Linked DNA regions of Arabidopsis thaliana. The protein of the gene in region 1 interacts with the protein of each later gene in a pairwise test. Each region holds a gene or a part of one and is shown in the gene's direction. Other genes may lie near its edges.

Region 1 (4,201 bases):
ACTAATTCCAAAAACTAAAATCCGATAGTTTAATTTTGATGTCATTGATCAAAACACAACATAAAAAAAATGATAAAACAAACATCTTAACATAAAAACATAAGGTAGCAACAATACACAAACTATTTATGATATCTACATATAGATATAACTATATATTCTAATATATATCAAAAGATACGGATCAAAGCGGATATTCGATTTTAAAAAAGACAATATTTGCTATTTGATTCGGTTTTTACGAATACTACATTTTCATATTTGCTTTGGTCCAAAATCTTACGGATATTCGGATTTTTTGAATCAAATCAAATCGAATACCGAATCGAAGCGGATCGAACGAATATTTTACCCAGCCCCAATAAAGGCTATAACACACCTTGAGAAAGTTCAAATTCCTCAAGACATAGAAAGTAGCTAAAATATTCAAGAAACGTCTCCAACAAAAGCCCAAATATTAACAACTGGAAATATAAAAGGTTGTCTACAAAAAGCTAGCCAGCAATTTTTCAATGAATTAAGTACCCGTTAAGTTGATTTTTTCACATATTTTGATTCATTTACACTTTTTTGTTGTTGTCTTATAGAAAGTAAAGTATCCGATTCATTTAGACTTTTAAGTGTCCATATATATATGGTGTGAGATCTCACAATTCAAAAAAAACTTATTATTGAAGTGAAAGATGGTAAGAACTTTAACAAAAAAAAAAAGAAAAAAAAAAAAAGATCGTACCTTAGTGACTTGGGTGGGGTGACATACGCAGGGAAGCCTAACAGTCAAGCTCCTTATCGCGAAAGGCCCATTACCTTCCAAAGACAAATTCTGGATCAGATGACCATTATATATACGAGCTTATTTGGAAGAAAATCTTCATTCAACAACCCATCTATTAATTTCCACCTATTATTTAAAAGAGAGATGAGAAATGACGTAAAAAAAAAAAAAAAAACGTTTTTCTAGCTCTAGAAATTTATAGATGGGTTGTTGAATGAAGATTTATCATTTTATGTATTCGATACTATGTTAAATAAATTTCTTTAATCGAGTTTGTTTTCATGCATGTTCTATTAACAAGTATGTAGATCTTGGAAAAAGAAAATATTTTGATCTTGATAAAATTCTTTTTCAAATCTCGATTAGTTTATTGTTTTTCCGAATTTTGCATTTATACTATTTATGTGATGTTCGTTTGTTAGTCGTTGGCGACCGCGACCAAATGTTGTTCGTATGGAAGTCGCTGGATATAGCGACCTGCGATTATAATTTTTGGTCGCTATTTATCTTTACGACTGATTATAAAACGCGATGTCTGAATTCAGTAAACTCGGCGACGGTATTGTTTTACATTCTTTTACATTTTAAAACTCTATTATTTACATTCTCTATTAATTATAATGATGCTCACTAATATAAAGTTTTAAAATGTGATCAATTGTTTCAAACTGCATTTGTCTTAACAAAATTCAAAAAAAAAATATAAATTTTTTGAAATAAATGTTTTATAAATATCAAAAGGTAAAGCTACACTAATCTTTTGCATTGTATTCGAGTAATATAAATCGAAATGACCAAAGTCTCTAAAGAATGAATAAGGATCAAATTTCAAAGAAAAGTGAAGAGTAATCGTCAACTACAAGAATCTTATCCTATGCGTACTCTTTCCTTATGAGTGACACAATAGAAAACAAACCCAACTGATTGATCCTTGTGAATAAGATAAAGTCCCAATCAACCTCTTACTTATCCTGCGCATATGCACTGTCCTCTATACTATCATGCGCATATACAAATGTCCATTCTTATCATGCGCATATACAAATGTCCATTCTTATCATGCGCACCTCAACTTAATACCAAACAAAAAAAAAAGTTTCACAAAACTCCAAAAGGTAAAGAATCTGACCCATTCACATATGCGTTTCAAAAACACTATCATGTCCACCACACGATTAAACCAAAGAGAAGAGAGAGAGAGAGAGAAACAGAGAAGAAAAGATTGAAGCAATCGAATGGAGAGTGTGGTGGCAACATGGAGCAGAGAAGAAGAGAAAGCATTCGAGAACGCAATTGCGTTGCATTGTGTAGAGGAAGAGATAACAGAGGATCAATGGAACAAAATGTCGTCAATGGTACCAAGCAAAGCCTTAGAAGAAGTAAAGAAACATTACCAAATCCTTTTAGAAGATGTCAAAGCAATCGAGAATGGTCAAGTTCCTTTACCTCGTTATCATCACCGCAAAGGTCTCATCGTAGATGAAGCAGCAGCAGCAGCTACTTCTCCTGCCAACAGAGACTCTCATTCCTCTGGATCATCTGAGAAGAAACCAAATCCTGGCACCTCCGGGATAAGTAGCTCCAATGGAGGAAGAAGTGGTGGCTCGAGAGCTGAGCAAGAGAGAAGAAAAGGGATTCCATGGACTGAAGAAGAGCATCGGTTTCTTCTTCTTCTCCTTCATCTCCATCATCTATCCATTGATATTATTTAGACTTAAAAGAGTGAAAAAAGATTTGGAAGATTCTTTACCTTTATTGAATACTCTGTTTTGTTTGGAAGGTTGTTTCTTTTGGGTTTGGACAAGTTTGGGAAAGGAGATTGGAGAAGCATTTCAAGGAACTTTGTGATCTCAAGAACTCCAACACAAGTTGCAAGTCATGCTCAAAAATACTTCATCAGGCTTAACTCGATGAACCGAGATAGAAGGCGGTCTAGCATTCACGACATCACCACTGTGAACAATCAAGCTCCTGCGGTTACAGGAGGAGGACAACAACCGCAAGTGGTTAAACATAGACCAGCTCAGCCACAACCACAGCCACAACCGCAACCACAACAACATCATCCCCCAACAATGGCTGGATTAGGGATGTATGGTGGTGCGCCAGTGGGACAACCGATCATCGCACCACCTGATCATATGGGTTCAGCTGTTGGAACACCTGTGATGCTTCCACCTCCAATGGGAACTCATCATCATCACCATCACCATCATCTTGGAGTTGCTCCTTATGCTGTACCGGCTTATCCGGTACCGCCATTACCGCAGCAACATCCAGCTCCGTCGACAATGCACTGACTGAAAACAATACAGTTGGTATTAAAACTGACATATATTGTACTGAAAACTTGTGTACATTCTCAAATCGAATAGCGAAACTGCGGCAAATAATAATGTACAGCAGAGGAATCTGTTTTTCCATTTCAAATCTATGATTTTCTTCTCAATATATTTCTTGAAACAAAGGCCTATAGGAGGATTTCATATTCAGACAGTAGAGAGAAAGTTGAATAGAAGTATACATAGATACAACAAACAAAACATATTAAAGAGTCATAGACCAAGTGTTGACTAGAAAATTTCACCAAAAAATACTAAAAGTAGCGTAGCATGTTACTATGTAGCTGCCAAAATTGAAGTTTTATAATCTAAGAGGTGAGATAATGGGGTCTCAAGTTTATACTTATCAGAGAAGATCTCTTGTAACTGAAAATAGGCATGATGAAACCAATTGAGCAATTTGTTTGCAAAATACATAACAAAAACGTAGAAGCACAGGCCAACCTGATCTCTTATTCCAGGGAAAAAAAGTAACCAAGTCCAAAAATATGATAAGAAGAGAAGTAAAGATTCAATAATGTAAAATTCTTACAAGAGGTTAAGAATGGTAAAAACTTTTCAAGTGCCAAACTGGTGACAGACGAGAGATTCCATAGATCATCGTTGCTTCTCTACTTCCAATCTCATTTTGATGCAAAGTATTCTTATTTGCATCCAAATTGCAGGAACCCTGGTTAAGAATCTTTGATGTGAGAACTGGGAGAATAATGGCTGGAGTAGATGGTCATGTTGTTGACAACTCATGGCCTATAATTAGGTACTTTCTTGAATTTCCTTTGAATAGAATTCTTAATACATTCATTGACATAACCTCTCTTTTTTTCCTTAGATGGGCTGGGGGAAAAGATGATAAATACTTTGCCACACTTATCAAAAACACTGTATCTGTTTATGAGACTAAGACTTTCAGACTGCTACGCAAGAAGGCGCGGCTGTGAATTTTGATGATGTTGTGGGCATGTCTTGGTCTCCTACTGAACCAATCCTTTCACTGTTGAAAGGGGATGTCAAGAACCAGCCTAAAAAGGTTGTTTTTCTGCAAATACCGGGCTATGTGGAGCTGATGCACAAGGATATTCTCAGC
Region 2 (3,848 bases), on another chromosome or scaffold:
GTAATTCAGATTATTAGAGACAAAAAGCACAAAAGCTCAAAAAAGACAAAGTTGGACGGAAAAATCTATATATGATTAAAGCAACGAAAAACAAAGAAAAAATCAAACACACACATTGTGTAATTTTTTGTGTATATGGAAGAATAAAGTGAGGCGATCGGAATGAACATCATTGATCATGCTTTCTCAAATTCTTCTCTGATCCTAAAACCAATAAAATGTTGTGTTAACTTATAAATATCATCCATCAGTTTTTACATTGTAGTGTATCGTCTCTAGTAGAGTTCAGCAGTGATCATGATCATCACTAATAGTTATGGCGTTCAATTTTCGTTTTCTCTAAATGTTTTTAAGAATTATCGAAGGAAACAAATATATACATTAAATGCTTCTTTAAAATATATAAACTCTGTTTAGAATTTCAGTATTGAAATCTAAATTATAGTTTGTTTAGATTTTACTAAAGATCCTAGTACTCCAATAAATACAATCTTTGTATTTTTAAATAACACTGATATTATTGATCTTATCCCTATCATTAAATTCAACGACAAAAGTAAACTTTGTTGCAAAAGAGAAGAAGACTATAATAGAGAGACGACAGATCTCGTTCTCAAGATGGTGCACTCGCATTACACATTTGAAATCCGACAGGCCCGTTCACATTTATTCTTAATTCGTCATCCTCGTCCAGGATACTTTAAGAAGAGGTAATTTCTAGGTTTTTAATGTGTTTTTTCCACTCTGATTTAAAATCCTTTCTTCTCTCCCAAGCTTCCCTTTGCTTTCAATCCCCAGGAGCTGGAAGGATTGTAATGAGTTCGAGCAAGAAATCTCAAAAATCGAATCATTTCCGGAAATAATATCCAGAATTGATGAATATGTTGCACAACTTAAGGAGGAGGTGGCCTATCTAAAGATAGGTATTTATTCAGAGTATCTATTTGATCATTCTTTCTATTTTATTCTCCTTTTTTATCTTTATGTGTTTCATATTCGTGTAGCCAAGGCGATTGTCGAAGAGAGGGCTAGGATTCGCTCCATAAAAAGAGCGGAGGCGCGTAAGGTTTTAGAAAAGTAAGTTTAACAATTGACGACTTTTTAGAGAAATTTTTAATGATATTGACGACTTAGATGATTAATTATGATCATTATCAACCGTTTAATGATTACTTTTACTTTAATAGTTTAAGGCAAACTCTACTCGGGGAGATGAGGAAGAGGAAGGCTGACGAGGATCTATGAGAACTGATGATCACATAAACTTCATGCTACATGCAATAAACGCGGTTAATTGGGTTTTGTTTTTTCTTCAACATCAACCCGACCTAGCTAGGGTATTATCTATATATATGGGACATCTTATCATCTGATCTGCATGTACCTATTTTTATTATTATAAATGCTTCATATATTAAGAAGAAAAGTTGTAGGCTTGTAGCAACCGATTCATAGTGGAAAATCCTTTTTTTTTTTTTTATGAAAATCAGATCGGCCGCAAAAACAACTTTCACCATGCACGAAGCTAGAAACTGCATTGATGTACCGTGTACGCTGTTTTTAATATAAAATAATTGCAGTTTTATTAGTTAGGCTACAAATATGAAATCAGGAGAAATATACCAATTAATGTACGTCCTAATTGCTTGGTATGTTACATAACCTTAAGTTGTATAATATTTATTAATTTATTTTATACTGGAGTTGATAGCTTTAAAAGTTGAGAGCAAAGTAACTTGAGACCATTTTAGAGTTAGCAAAGTAATGGAGAAAATAAGAAAAATCACACGCATGCAGCATGATGTATAATTATTGGAAACATGTATTTCCAAGAAAGTAATCAGTTCTCTGTACGCCTGAATTCGATTTTCATAAAGCTCACTTCCTTGGATTGCTAGAGCAAACATTTATATTGATATCTGCGTTAACATCATAACATGTGGGTTTTTAGTAATTCTCAACAGTATGGGTATTTTTGCTCTCTCTAGAGAGGGTAAATTTGTGATTCCATCTGCAAATTATTCCTCCTATATATATATAGAACGTGATGAATCAAATTTCTTAAGTTGCAAGCCATGACTAATCTTGATGAGTTTCTTGAAGAGCTAAGTTCTATTGAATCACATTCTCAGAAAATCGTGAAGATAGATGAGCATTTAAAAAAGTTGGATGAAGAGACGAAAGAAGATGAAGATGAAGATGCGGCGAAGATAATTCAAGATCGGAGTACCGCGAGAGAAGCAGGTTAATTTCTTCTCCTTCACCTTGTAATTTAAAGTTGTTCCTCTCTCATTCTCAAATCTTGTTGGGTCTTGGAAACGCAGAAATTGCTCTACTTATGGATCTCCGTCAGAACTTTCTTCCACCACCATCGATGTCATCCTCCTCTCTTCAACCACCGTCATCGTCAACTCTCGCACCATCGTCATCATCCTCTCTTCAACCACCCGCACCGTTGATAGACTTCTTTCGGTCATCAGTGTCATACTCTCATCAACCACCGTCATCTTCAACTCTCGCAACATCATCGTCACCGTCTCTTCAACCACCGTCGATGTCATCCTCCTCTCTTCAACCACCCGCATCTTTGAGGGAATTCTTTACGTCGTCAGTGTCATACTCTCATCAGCCATCTTCATCTTCAACTCTCGCAACATCTTCGTTCTTTCCGTCGTCAATGCCATACTCTGTTCGACCTCCCGATTCGTCTGATCGACCATCTTTGAGGGAATTCTTTCCGTCGTCACCATCATCCTCTATTCAGCCACCCGAATCATCATCATCTAAGCGAGCACGGCTTAGTAACATCTTTCCGTCACCTTTATCCTCCTCTCCGTCACCGTTTGTTAACCCGTTTCTCCGTCCGCAGGCCCAAGAACCAACAATACCAAATTTCATAAACCCAATACCACAGATCTCTCCAGGCCTACCTGCTCTATTCCCAAACCCTAACCCTAATCCTAACCCTAACCCAATCCCAAACCCAATCCGAAACCCAGACTTGGTGTGGACAAATAGGCTTCAACTAGTGTTTGATGACGCAGTTGTCAGACTTGGGGGATTATTCAGTATGCAACTTTATAATTTTTTTATTTATTTTGTTTATTCTTTCAACTCCTAACTATTTTCCTAATTTTTTTTTTTTTTTTCAGGTGCAACACCCAAAGCCATAAACGAACTAATTTCTGAAGAGGGTCTCACTGGTGACCAGATCCGTAGCCACTTACAAGTCTTGCGGGATCGTCAAAAGGCTATTGCAGACAAATTAGCCTTGGAGTGAAGAAAATATTGAAGATGAGAGATAGGATTAAATAGAAAGAGTGATAGTATAGAACGTTTCTTTTTCTTTTGTTGTTAATCTTGCATATTACAAACAATTACTATATCATAATAGAATTTATGTTAATGTTGGAGTTATTAAAAAAAAAAAAGTTAACCATAATAACATTCTTACTGTACGCATGAGTGATCATTTATCACAATCTATTAGAGCAACCCCAATGGGTGGGATGATGACAGTCCCTAAAAAACCAAAAAATAATAATATTTTAATTTTTTAACATAGTTTGACAACTAAAAAACCTACACATGTACATTTAATCTTCAGGTCCCTTATATAAGGGTTTTTGGAGCCCTTCTCTCCTGTGTCCCTTCCATTTTAATTATTTTTTTTTTTTTTATATTGTAAGGGACCTTAAGAGAGACCACCATTGCTGGTGCAGGCTGTAGAAAAATTTGTTTAGCTTCTCCTTCTTTTCTTAATTTTGACAGATAAGTCTCAGCCTCTCTCCCCCCATAAGGGTATGTCTTGACATTTAGATTCGTTGAATCAAAAGTTTTTCATGTTT
Region 3 (4,564 bases), on another chromosome or scaffold:
AATTGAAACCAGTTTCCAGCTTTTATGACTTTAACATACGTTGGATGGTCGTTGGAACTTGGAAGATACTCTTGGTGCCTCAAGCGACCTTCACTGTTTTCTATATGGTGCAAGTTTATAATTCAAAGATCGATCGGTTTCCAAAGATGTTCAAGAGTAGGAACAAAAATCCAAACAAGAAAAAAGATAACCGATCTAGACTGAAAGTTTATACAATGTTATGAACTCATTTGAATTCGGAAGTCAATTTTAGCTACAGAGACCGAAAGAGTGAAGCAGCCATTGAATTACAAATTGACGACTATGTATCTGTTGCGTAAGCCGCGTAACAATAACATTACATAGAATTTTAAGGCTTGTCTTATCTATACTCGTTGACAATGTCAAATAAATATAGCATAGGAATTTTATACTATATGGTGCTACTAATTACATGGAACCCTTAATATATACGACTGTTTAAATAGTCAACGTGATAAATAGAGAGTTGGTAAGTGTTTGGTTTTAATTTGACAATGTGAAACAAGCCTGAACATTGACCCTTTAAACCATAACAGTAATTTAACGGTAAAAAAATAGTAATTAAGTATGTAAACAAGATCTTCCGTGAGAGTGAAATTAAACCTCATTATTTAAATTATACTAGTAAACATTTTCTCCAACCGTAGGAAATTTCGTTTTATGTTTTTTTTCTAATTTGTCGTGATCCTTCTCATTCCTTTGAAGACAACAAGATTCTATTATGAAAGATTTTTTCAAAGATCCAATAGTATAATACAACGTAATATATAATACCAACTTTATAGTTACACCTTCTAATAAAATCCACTTACTCGTTTATGTGTTCCTCACGCTATCGACTTAATGTTTGGAACCCGCGAGAGAAGTTCTTTAATTAAATTAGTCAATCGAAAAAAGCTATCCATTTCCTTTATCAAAGTAAATCAATTCGAAAATCTCGTATTAACTTGATCATCCAAATCCATATGTATATTTTCGAATAATATAAAACAGAAATTGAGATAACCTATACTAAAGAGAGTTTCACGTAAAAAATTTATATTTTCACGTAACAAAAAATTACAAAACAATTAAACAAAAAACAAATGATAATAGCATAGGTAATTTTTTGTGACTTGAAATTCAGAACGTATGGTAGGCACAAACGACGGTTTGGTAACAATAAGGAGAATAATAATAATCTTCGTTTGAATTCAAATAGAGGAAGAAGAAGCGAAAGGGTAGGCTTTGATCAACCATGAGACATTGAAGCAGGTAGAGATAATTCTTTGAATGCGGTGGAAGCAATCACATAATGATAAATGCAAGATTCCAATTTTGATGAACTTTGCAATGAGAACATAATATTGCTTTTCAATTAAATATTAGTTAAATATACCCTTCAAGAAAAGTAGTTAACAAGTTTAATTTATAATCATGCATTTATGCGAAATTCTTATTTGTAGGTTTTAATCTAAATAGAGAAATATACACATATATAGGAAATATTCAAAAATGATCACATGCATGTTTAATTTTTGAAAAATGTGGCTTTCTTTTATAACATAATTTCAATAAGATTAGTTTGAATTGCAGATTATGAAATAGTATATAATTTGTGATTGTTTTACAAGTAAAAGAGCGTAAGAAATTTGGTCCCAAAAAAAAAAGATTTTAGTAGGGAAATATCAACATTTTATTCTAACATAGCTAGGGCAAATATTTTATACATCTAACCCACAATAACAAAATCCATTAATGCATTAACAATTATTCGTATTCTTTTATATAAAAATTATTTGTTTGAACATCATCCCCACGAATTACTCTTCGAAGTTCGAACGCCATGACACATATCATATTATCAGTACCTAATCTTGATTTTGTTATAACTATTTTGGTTATTTAACTGATTTATTGAATGACTCATATATTGTAGACTTATGACACACTATGAAAAATAATATTTACACCAAATTCTGACGAATGCATACACAACTTTACTTTAGTTATGTCATGACTGCTTTTCACATCTATATATACATACAAACCTAATCGTAGGGAGCGACGAAACGAAGATCATATCTTCAAAAACCTCTGATAAGTTTTGGTTCTTGATATAAACAAAATGGGAAGATCACCGTGTTGCGATCAAGACAAAGGCGTGAAGAAAGGACCGTGGCTGCCAGAAGAAGATGATAAGCTCACTGCTTATATAAACGAGAATGGTTATGGGAATTGGCGGTCGCTTCCTAAGCTCGCTGGACTTAACCGCTGTGGCAAGAGCTGTCGGCTCCGGTGGATGAATTATCTCCGGCCTGATATCCGGAGAGGCAAATTTTCCGATGGAGAAGAGAGTACTATCGTTAGACTCCATGCCCTCCTTGGCAACAAGTAAGACTATTTTTTTTTCGTTAAAGCTTTTATGCTATTTTGTTAGCACTAAATGATTTAGGTCTCGCTTGTTTCAGACGTAATTATGTGTTCCTGTTTACATGTTTTTTTCATAATTTTAAAATATAAACCATTTTCAGTTCTTTTAAAATTAATATAAAGTGCAAAAACAAATTTACGTATGGATACCATTGCATAGTTTATTATTGCTATTATAGAATTCACATCCTCAAGACTATAGTCTAAACTTTAGTTTATAATTCTCTAACCATACAAAAGGTTAAGTTTTCGTTGGTTCATTTTACTAACGTTTGAGTCGAATTTTTACCATACAGATGGTCGAAAATTGCGGGTCATCTTCCAGGAAGAACAGATAATGAAATTAAAAACTATTGGAACACTCATATGAGGAAGAAGTTATTGCAAATGGGGATTGATCCAGTGACGCACGAGCCAAGAACCAACGATCTTAGCCCTATCCTCGATGTTTCTCAAATGCTCGCGGCAGCAATCAACAATGGCCAATTTGGTAACAATAACCTCCTCAACAATAACACCGCTTTGGAAGATATTCTTAAACTCCAATTGATCCATAAAATGCTTCAAATCATAACCCCCAAAGCCATACCAAACATCAGTAGCTTCAAGACCAATTTACTGAATCCTAAACCAGAACCGGTAGTCAATAGCTTCAATACCAATTCAGTGAATCCTAAACCGGATCCCCCGGCTGGTCTTTTCATAAACCAAAGTGGAATCACTCCTGAGGCCGCCTCGGATTTCATTCCATCTTATGAAAATGTTTGGGATGGTTTTGAAGATAACCAGCTTCCTGGTTTGGTTACGGTTTCTCAAGAGAGTTTAAATACAGCAAAACCGGGTACCAGTACGACCACCAAGGTAAATGATCATATCAGAACCGGTATGATGCCGTGTTACTATGGTGATCAACTACTAGAAACCCCATCTACTGGTTCGGTATCGGTCTCTCCCGAGACAACCAGTTTGAACCATCCCAGTACAGCTCAACACTCATCCGGTTCAGATTTCCTAGAGGACTGGGAGAAGTTTCTTGATGATGAAACAAGTGATTCTTGCTGGAAAAGTTTCTTAGAGTAAGATCTATCTCCGCATTGATTAACATAGTATATGATTTATATTTATGGTTTATTAACAGAATTGTTTTATCTAATCTGCAGCTTAACGTCACCCACATCGTCACCTGTCCCATGGTAGAACTGGATTTTGTTCGGGTCGTATACTCATAGTTTTAAAGACAATACATACACAAAGATATTCGATTAATACTCTTAATTTTGTTTGTTATTAAATATTGATTTAAAGTTTGTATATTTTCTTGTAAAGGAATTCTTATTTGTAATTTGTTCTTATTTGGTTTGGTTGTTGTGTAAAGAAACACATTGTAATCACCATTCTATTATTGCCCATTTAATAACAATATTTTGGATAAATATCTACGAGCAGTCTAATTTATACAATCAAACAACTCTATGGAAACATAACTTGATTCACAAGTTTAATAAAAATTCACCTATTTGCCAATAAGGAAATATATTAAAATGTCAATCTCTCGATGTTTCTAACAGAAAGATTGACAAAAAATCAAAAAACAAACAGTCACCAAGAATGGAGGAAGAAGAGAAAAACCCTAGTTCGATCTACATAGTTGCCGATCTTCTAGAAGATATATTCCTTCGACTTCCCTTGAAATCCATTCTCATATCGAAAAGCGTCTCAAAACGATGGAGATCAATTCTTGAGTCGAAGACGTTCGTGGAGAGACGAATGAGTCTTCAAAAGAAGCGCAAAATCCTGGCTGCTTACAACTGCAAATGCGGCTGGGAGCCTAGGCTCCTCCCCGGGTCGTCGCAGTGCAAAGGGAACGAAGAGATCGTCTATCTGCACTGCAACGCCGCACAACCCTCGTTTACTTGCGACGGTTTGGTCTGCATTCTCGAACCACGTTGGATAGACGTTTTGAACCCCTGGACAAGGCAACTCCGGCGATACGGATTCGGATTTGGAACCATATTTGGAGTAGGTTCGGCTTTCTCTCCAAGACATTGGGCAATGGGATTTGGTAAAGATAAAGTTACCGGAAGCTATAAAGTAGTGAAGATGTGTTTAATATCTTTCAGTGAAATTTGTG
Region 4 (5,213 bases), 9.8 Mb from region 1:
TGATGGAAGTGGGAAAGTTCAGAGGTTGAAGAAAGAGTGTCCTTCTGTTAGTTGTGGTCCTGGAACTTTCATGGCGAGTCATTTCGATAGGCATTATTGTGGGAAATGTGGAACTACTTACGTGTTCAAGAAGGCTGATGAAGAGTAGGTTATGTCTTTTTGCTTTTGGAATTTAGATTGTTTTTTTTTTAATTCAGATATTTTGAGATGGTTTTATACTATTGAGGGATGGTTTAATTGTTGCATAATACATTATATTATCTTTGATTAGAAATTTGATCAATTTTTTTTTTGTTTCATTATGCTTTGACTGATGTGGAAATGTTGAATTGTGGCTGTAGAATTAGGACGTTGTGTTGGAACAATTCTTTGCGACATTGTTTTAGTTTTAACCTGGATTAGTGCAAGGCAAAATTTAGCCATTATGTTGATTCTGATCATATTCTTACACCAATGTCTTGAAGTTTTGTTGTTGTTGGCTCTGATAACTTGTTTGCTAAGATAAGTTTAAATTCTCTCAGATATTGATTATGTGTTTGACATTAACGTGCGTTTGTCTTTGCACATTTTATCGTCATTTCACAGCTTCTATTTATGTTAACAGTGAGATTTGACCAATCTATAAGCTGTCATGTAAAAGTTTGAGACTAGAAATGAGATGTATATCAGTATATATGGAGTAAAAGACTGTTAAACCAGAAGCCATAACTATGATTACAATGTATAATTTTAACCTCTAATCTCTCAAATCACAAATGTGTACCTCCTACTCAATTACTCATCAATAGGCTTATGAAAATGGATCGAAACTTATTAATGGGTCGGTAAATTATGTGATCTCTCAAAATGGGTCGAAACTTGTTCACTCCGGGGTTGGGTCATTGCATTGGATTCCACCCACACAAAAATTACAAATGTGTAGGAAATTGAGTAAATATTAGTATTATGTTTAGTCTTTTTCTTGTGGTTGAACACAAAATAGGAGATGAGAGTAAGTGAGAGAGAGAGAAAGCAATAAAGAGAGGGACAGTAGAAATAACATGACACAGAGAGAAAGCACTGAAACTTGAAGAAATAGAGAGAGAGAGAGAGAGAAGAGTTTGGGTAAAATGGTCAAGAAACAGTTAGCAAAAATGTGAGAGAAGAAAGACAAAATCCTAAGATTCCGAGTTACTAAAAGTGATGAGTCTCCTAGAAACACCCGCACTAGTCTCAACTCACTGCACTTTCATTTTCAGTCTCACTTCAACCAAAACTCCAAAAGACTGTTGAGTTTTGTGAGAGATTCATTAAATCCCATTTAAAGAGACAACTACACATGAGACAAAGAGGCATTTCTTTCTCAACCTCACTTGTTTTTTTCTTTCTTTCTAACTTGCAAACCAAACCACACCACCACATCACATCATTTATTAACCCCAGCTCTCTTCGATGTCTATCTATCTCCTCTTGTGCAACGTGCCTTTCCATTTTCACATGTTCATTTTTAATACTCATACTCTTTACCATCGATTTTTATCTCTTGTTATTTTTTTGTTTAACCTAGTGTTATCTTACAATAACACATATTATCTTGTATGCTTATTTATCAGAAAAATCCTGAAATGGTTTTTGAAGGGAGCTTATATATTTTCTGTTTATAGGTTATTAAGTGTTTTAAATTGTTTTGACAACAAAAAATGTCTCCTCTAATGGTAAACGCTCAAACGTTATGTATCATTTGTCATATATATTTTGTGAGTGTGACATAACATAAAAATCTTATAACAATGCTTTTGTATAACGAAAATTCTTAATTAAACTCCATCATCAACAAAAGTATTATATACATCATTTTATTTTATTTTATTTTAGAGAAGAAAATGTAGTTTGAATATTAAGGAGTTAGGAATGTGATTAATAGAAAGAATGAGAATCATTTACTGCTTACAGCTCATAGAGACTATGAAGATTCCAATTATTACAAGTGAGATAGAGACGTACATAAGTTGAATTGTATTGTGCATTTTAGCATATAACCAAAGCATTCCACATGAAAGATATAAATATAATTACATATTTGCATTAATGAATATTAACAAAACCTATCTCTCTGTCTATATATACACACACACACACACACATATATCTCCTATCATTCATCGTACACACACACTCTCTATGACAAAGCTCCCCAACATGACGACAACACTCAACCATCTATTTGATCTGCCGGGGCAGATTTGCCATGTCCAGTGTGGTTTTTGCACCACTATTTTGCTGGTATACCTTAACTTCTTCTCTTATTCTCTCCCTTCCTTTCTCCCTTCCTCTCTTTATATATATGATCATGAGTTTAATGAGTGTAAATGTGTTGCAGGTGAGTGTACCGTTTACAAGCTTGTCAATGGTGGTGACTGTGAGATGTGGGCATTGCACAAGCCTTCTCTCTGTCAATTTGATGAAGGCTTCCTTCATTCCTCTCCATCTCCTTGCTTCTCTCTCCCATCTTGATGAGGTTTCCATAACATCTATACATAGACAAACACACACCATCTAAATATGACCAATATATATATATATATACTTACTTTTGATTATATGTAAATATATGTGCAGACCGGGAAAGAGGAGGTTGCAGCTACAGATGGTGTGGAAGAAGAAGCATGGAAGGTGAATCAGGAGAAGGAGAACAGTCCAACGACTTTGGTTTCATCTTCAGACAATGAAGATGAAGATGTGTCTCGTGTTTACCAAGTTGTCAATAAACGTACGTTTGAGTATAAATTCAACTTAAACTTTAGTTTTGCGATTTCTCCTTTCATCAGTCGTCTAATTATGTTTTGAGTTTGTATATATATAGCACCTGAGAAGCGACAAAGAGCTCCTTCAGCTTACAATTGCTTCATCAAGTAAGAAATAAATTCAACACATTACATGTGTATGTATATTATATATATTCTTACAAATTTAACCACTTAAGGTTTTGAGTTTGTAAAATGGTTCTTCTTTGGGGGTTGTATTGGAGCAGGGAAGAGATCAGGAGGTTAAAGGCTCAGAATCCAAGCATGGCTCACAAGGAAGCTTTCAGCTTAGCTGCCAAAAATGTACTTAAGCTTAATTAGTCTTAAGATTTAAAAGAAAACCCTAATATAGTTTTCATCTTTTTGTTAGCTTAATTGACAGATCGAGTTAGCTAATAACATTTTATGATTTCAATTTTTTGATTTGGGGATGGCGAAGTGGGCCCATTTTCCTCCAGCTCACAACAAGAGAGCTGCTTCAGATCAATGTTTTTGTGAGGAAGATAACAATGCGATACTACCATGCAATGTTTTTGAGGTAATCCTCAGCAACCATTTATATTTTTTAATCACTTTCGCTTCAAAATCAATTACCATATTCTTGACAAGTAAACTCCACAACAAGTGTCATTTTCCAAAGCAAACCAAATAATTAAAGCATTAACTAGATCCAAATAGCATCGCTCTCAGTCAAAATTTCAGAACCCTAGCTAGACTAATTATATAAAGAGAAATCATTTACTAATTATTAGAGTGAAAGCAAGGAGAAGGGTAAGTGAGATTGTGAGAATATATCATTGATCTTCAACTACTACAATGTGTGAAATTTATGACCTAAACCCTTTTATAGTATTGAAGCTTACACTGCACACAGTTTACTTTTATAGAAACCCATTCAACTAATTTAAAACATTGAAGCTGAATATGTATAGTTTTCAATTAATATACCAAATAATTGTTGAAATGTTTGTGATGCAGGACCATGAAGAAAGCAATAATGGGTTCCGAGAGAGAAAGGCTCAGAGGCATTCCATTTGGGGAAAATCTCCATTTGAGTAATAACAATTTGGGATATGAAAATTTAACAAAAAAATAAATAATGGCGTATGACATGTGATGGTGACTCTTTTCTTCTAGGGTTTGATTATGTTGGTTTAGGGTTTCTGTTGTTGGAGAGAGATAGAGAGAAGAAGAATCTGAAACGGAAGTAGGATTTGTGTGTGTTCGAGAAGAGTCCTTGGGAATGAGCGAGTTTGTTCAGTAATTTCGTAGTACTTGTCAACTTTGAACTTAATTTGAAGAGACATGCATTGACTCTATAAAAAAAATTCTACTTTTGCATTCATGACTACTCTTATTCCATGAATGTTTTAACATTCCATGAAACAGTACTTTAGTAAGAATCTTTGTTAACCTATCATAATAAAGATCCTTCTTGACTTCGCGCGCTCAATGCTTTTGTACGTACGATGGAGAAAAACACTTACTAAAAAAAAAACACTTTTTGTTTTGACATTTGACCTTTCTAAGTTACTTTTTTTTTTTGTCGTCTGAAAATTTATTATAGAGATTCCGGTGAAATACAAAAGTGAAATATAAAGCCGGCGGTTAACAAGTAACACCAGAAAACTAAGCCGACGATTAAAAGGATAGTCTTGGAAGCAAAACCCAAAGGAAAGGGAGACAACAAGGCAAAACAAACCTTACAAACAAAGCAAAGTTGCGAAACTGAAACAAAGAAGCAGACCAAAACAACCAAAATTTTAAACACAACATCTCGTCAACCACATTACCAGACAAAGGAAAGGCAGAGCTTTACAACAAGCCACTCCGTAGGAGACAAGGAACTCCCAACCAAACGGACAGCGGTGCCACCTATTACGATGAAGACTACCTTACATAGAAGAGTTCCAAGGAATCCATACCGGCGAGAAGAACTAGGCCAAAGACGACAAGTCACACCTACACTCCCGGAATCGGCGAATTAAAGAATATGATTGTTTAGCGCCTCGAAGGAAACCAGCCAATGAACAGATGAGATCTCGATCAGATCTTTAGAGTAGAGACAAGGAGAGAACCAAATCAATTCGGACCACACCGAAAAAGAAAAACGGGAGGAGATCGAACCGGACAGAAACGAAAGCAACCACCAAGCCTGGTAAGAGGCTAAACGAGAAGAAGGCTAAAACATGACCGGATCAAGAGGCGCTACTAGCAACATAGACCAACCCACAAAAACAACATAAGCCATCTAAGAACCATTCGAAAATCCCTACACCACAACGCACATAAACTAAGTAAAAGCAACATAAACTTTACAACAGAGCAAGAGACGCATAGCTCCGGCGCTATGGAAGCCACCAAAGCCAGCCAACGCAAACTGAGATCTAGATCTACTTTTAGAGAGAATGAAGAGGTTTTAGAGTCCTC

Evidence for each region.
Region 2: the proteins of AT1G49010 (region 1) and AT3G19070 interact in a two-hybrid assay, tested with the Arabidopsis thaliana proteins (one large-scale study listed by BioGRID).
Region 3: the proteins of AT1G49010 (region 1) and MYB39 interact in a two-hybrid assay, tested with the Arabidopsis thaliana proteins (one large-scale study listed by BioGRID).
Region 4: the proteins of AT1G49010 (region 1) and INO interact in a two-hybrid assay, tested with the Arabidopsis thaliana proteins (one large-scale study listed by BioGRID).

What each region holds. Positions count from the first base shown.
Region 1 is NC_003070.9:18,130,704-18,134,904, forward strand, and holds AT1G49010 (Duplicated homeodomain-like superfamily protein), read left to right. Parts: upstream 1-1,841; 5' UTR 1,842-2,010; coding exon 2,011-2,435; intron 2,436-2,555; coding exon 2,556-3,075; 3' UTR 3,076-3,314; downstream 3,315-4,201. Other genes in the region: AT1G49015 (DPP6 N-terminal domain-like protein), read left to right, coding at 3,825-3,874, 3,947-3,998, 4,028-4,201.
Region 2 is NC_003074.8:6,591,698-6,595,545, forward strand, and holds AT3G19070 (Homeodomain-like superfamily protein), read left to right. Parts: upstream 1-2,075; coding exon 2,076-2,244; intron 2,245-2,324; coding exon 2,325-3,068; intron 3,069-3,152; coding exon 3,153-3,280; downstream 3,281-3,848. Other genes in the region: AT3G19055 (uncharacterized protein), read left to right, coding at 619-710, 799-923, 1,005-1,077, 1,194-1,245.
Region 3 is NC_003075.7:9,880,933-9,885,496, reverse strand, and holds MYB39 (myb domain protein 39), read left to right. Parts: upstream 1-2,064; 5' UTR 2,065-2,128; coding exon 2,129-2,394; intron 2,395-2,729; coding exon 2,730-3,509; coding exon of another isoform or gene 3,510-3,513; exon of another isoform or gene 3,514-3,593; coding exon 3,594-3,630; 3' UTR 3,631-3,898; downstream 3,899-4,564. Other genes in the region: AT4G17780 (F-box and associated interaction domains-containing protein), read left to right, coding at 4,042-4,564.
Region 4 is NC_003070.9:8,315,263-8,320,475, forward strand, and holds INO (Plant-specific transcription factor YABBY family protein), read left to right. Parts: upstream 1-2,034; 5' UTR 2,035-2,067; coding exon 2,068-2,262; intron 2,263-2,359; coding exon 2,360-2,497; intron 2,498-2,598; coding exon 2,599-2,749; intron 2,750-2,842; coding exon 2,843-2,891; intron 2,892-3,010; coding exon 3,011-3,086; intron 3,087-3,222; coding exon 3,223-3,321; intron 3,322-3,761; coding exon 3,762-3,842; 3' UTR 3,843-4,229; downstream 4,230-5,213. Other genes in the region: AT1G23410 (Ribosomal protein S27a / Ubiquitin family protein), read left to right, coding at 1-148. UniProt on the Arabidopsis thaliana protein: Essential for the formation and the abaxial-adaxial asymmetric growth of the ovule outer integument.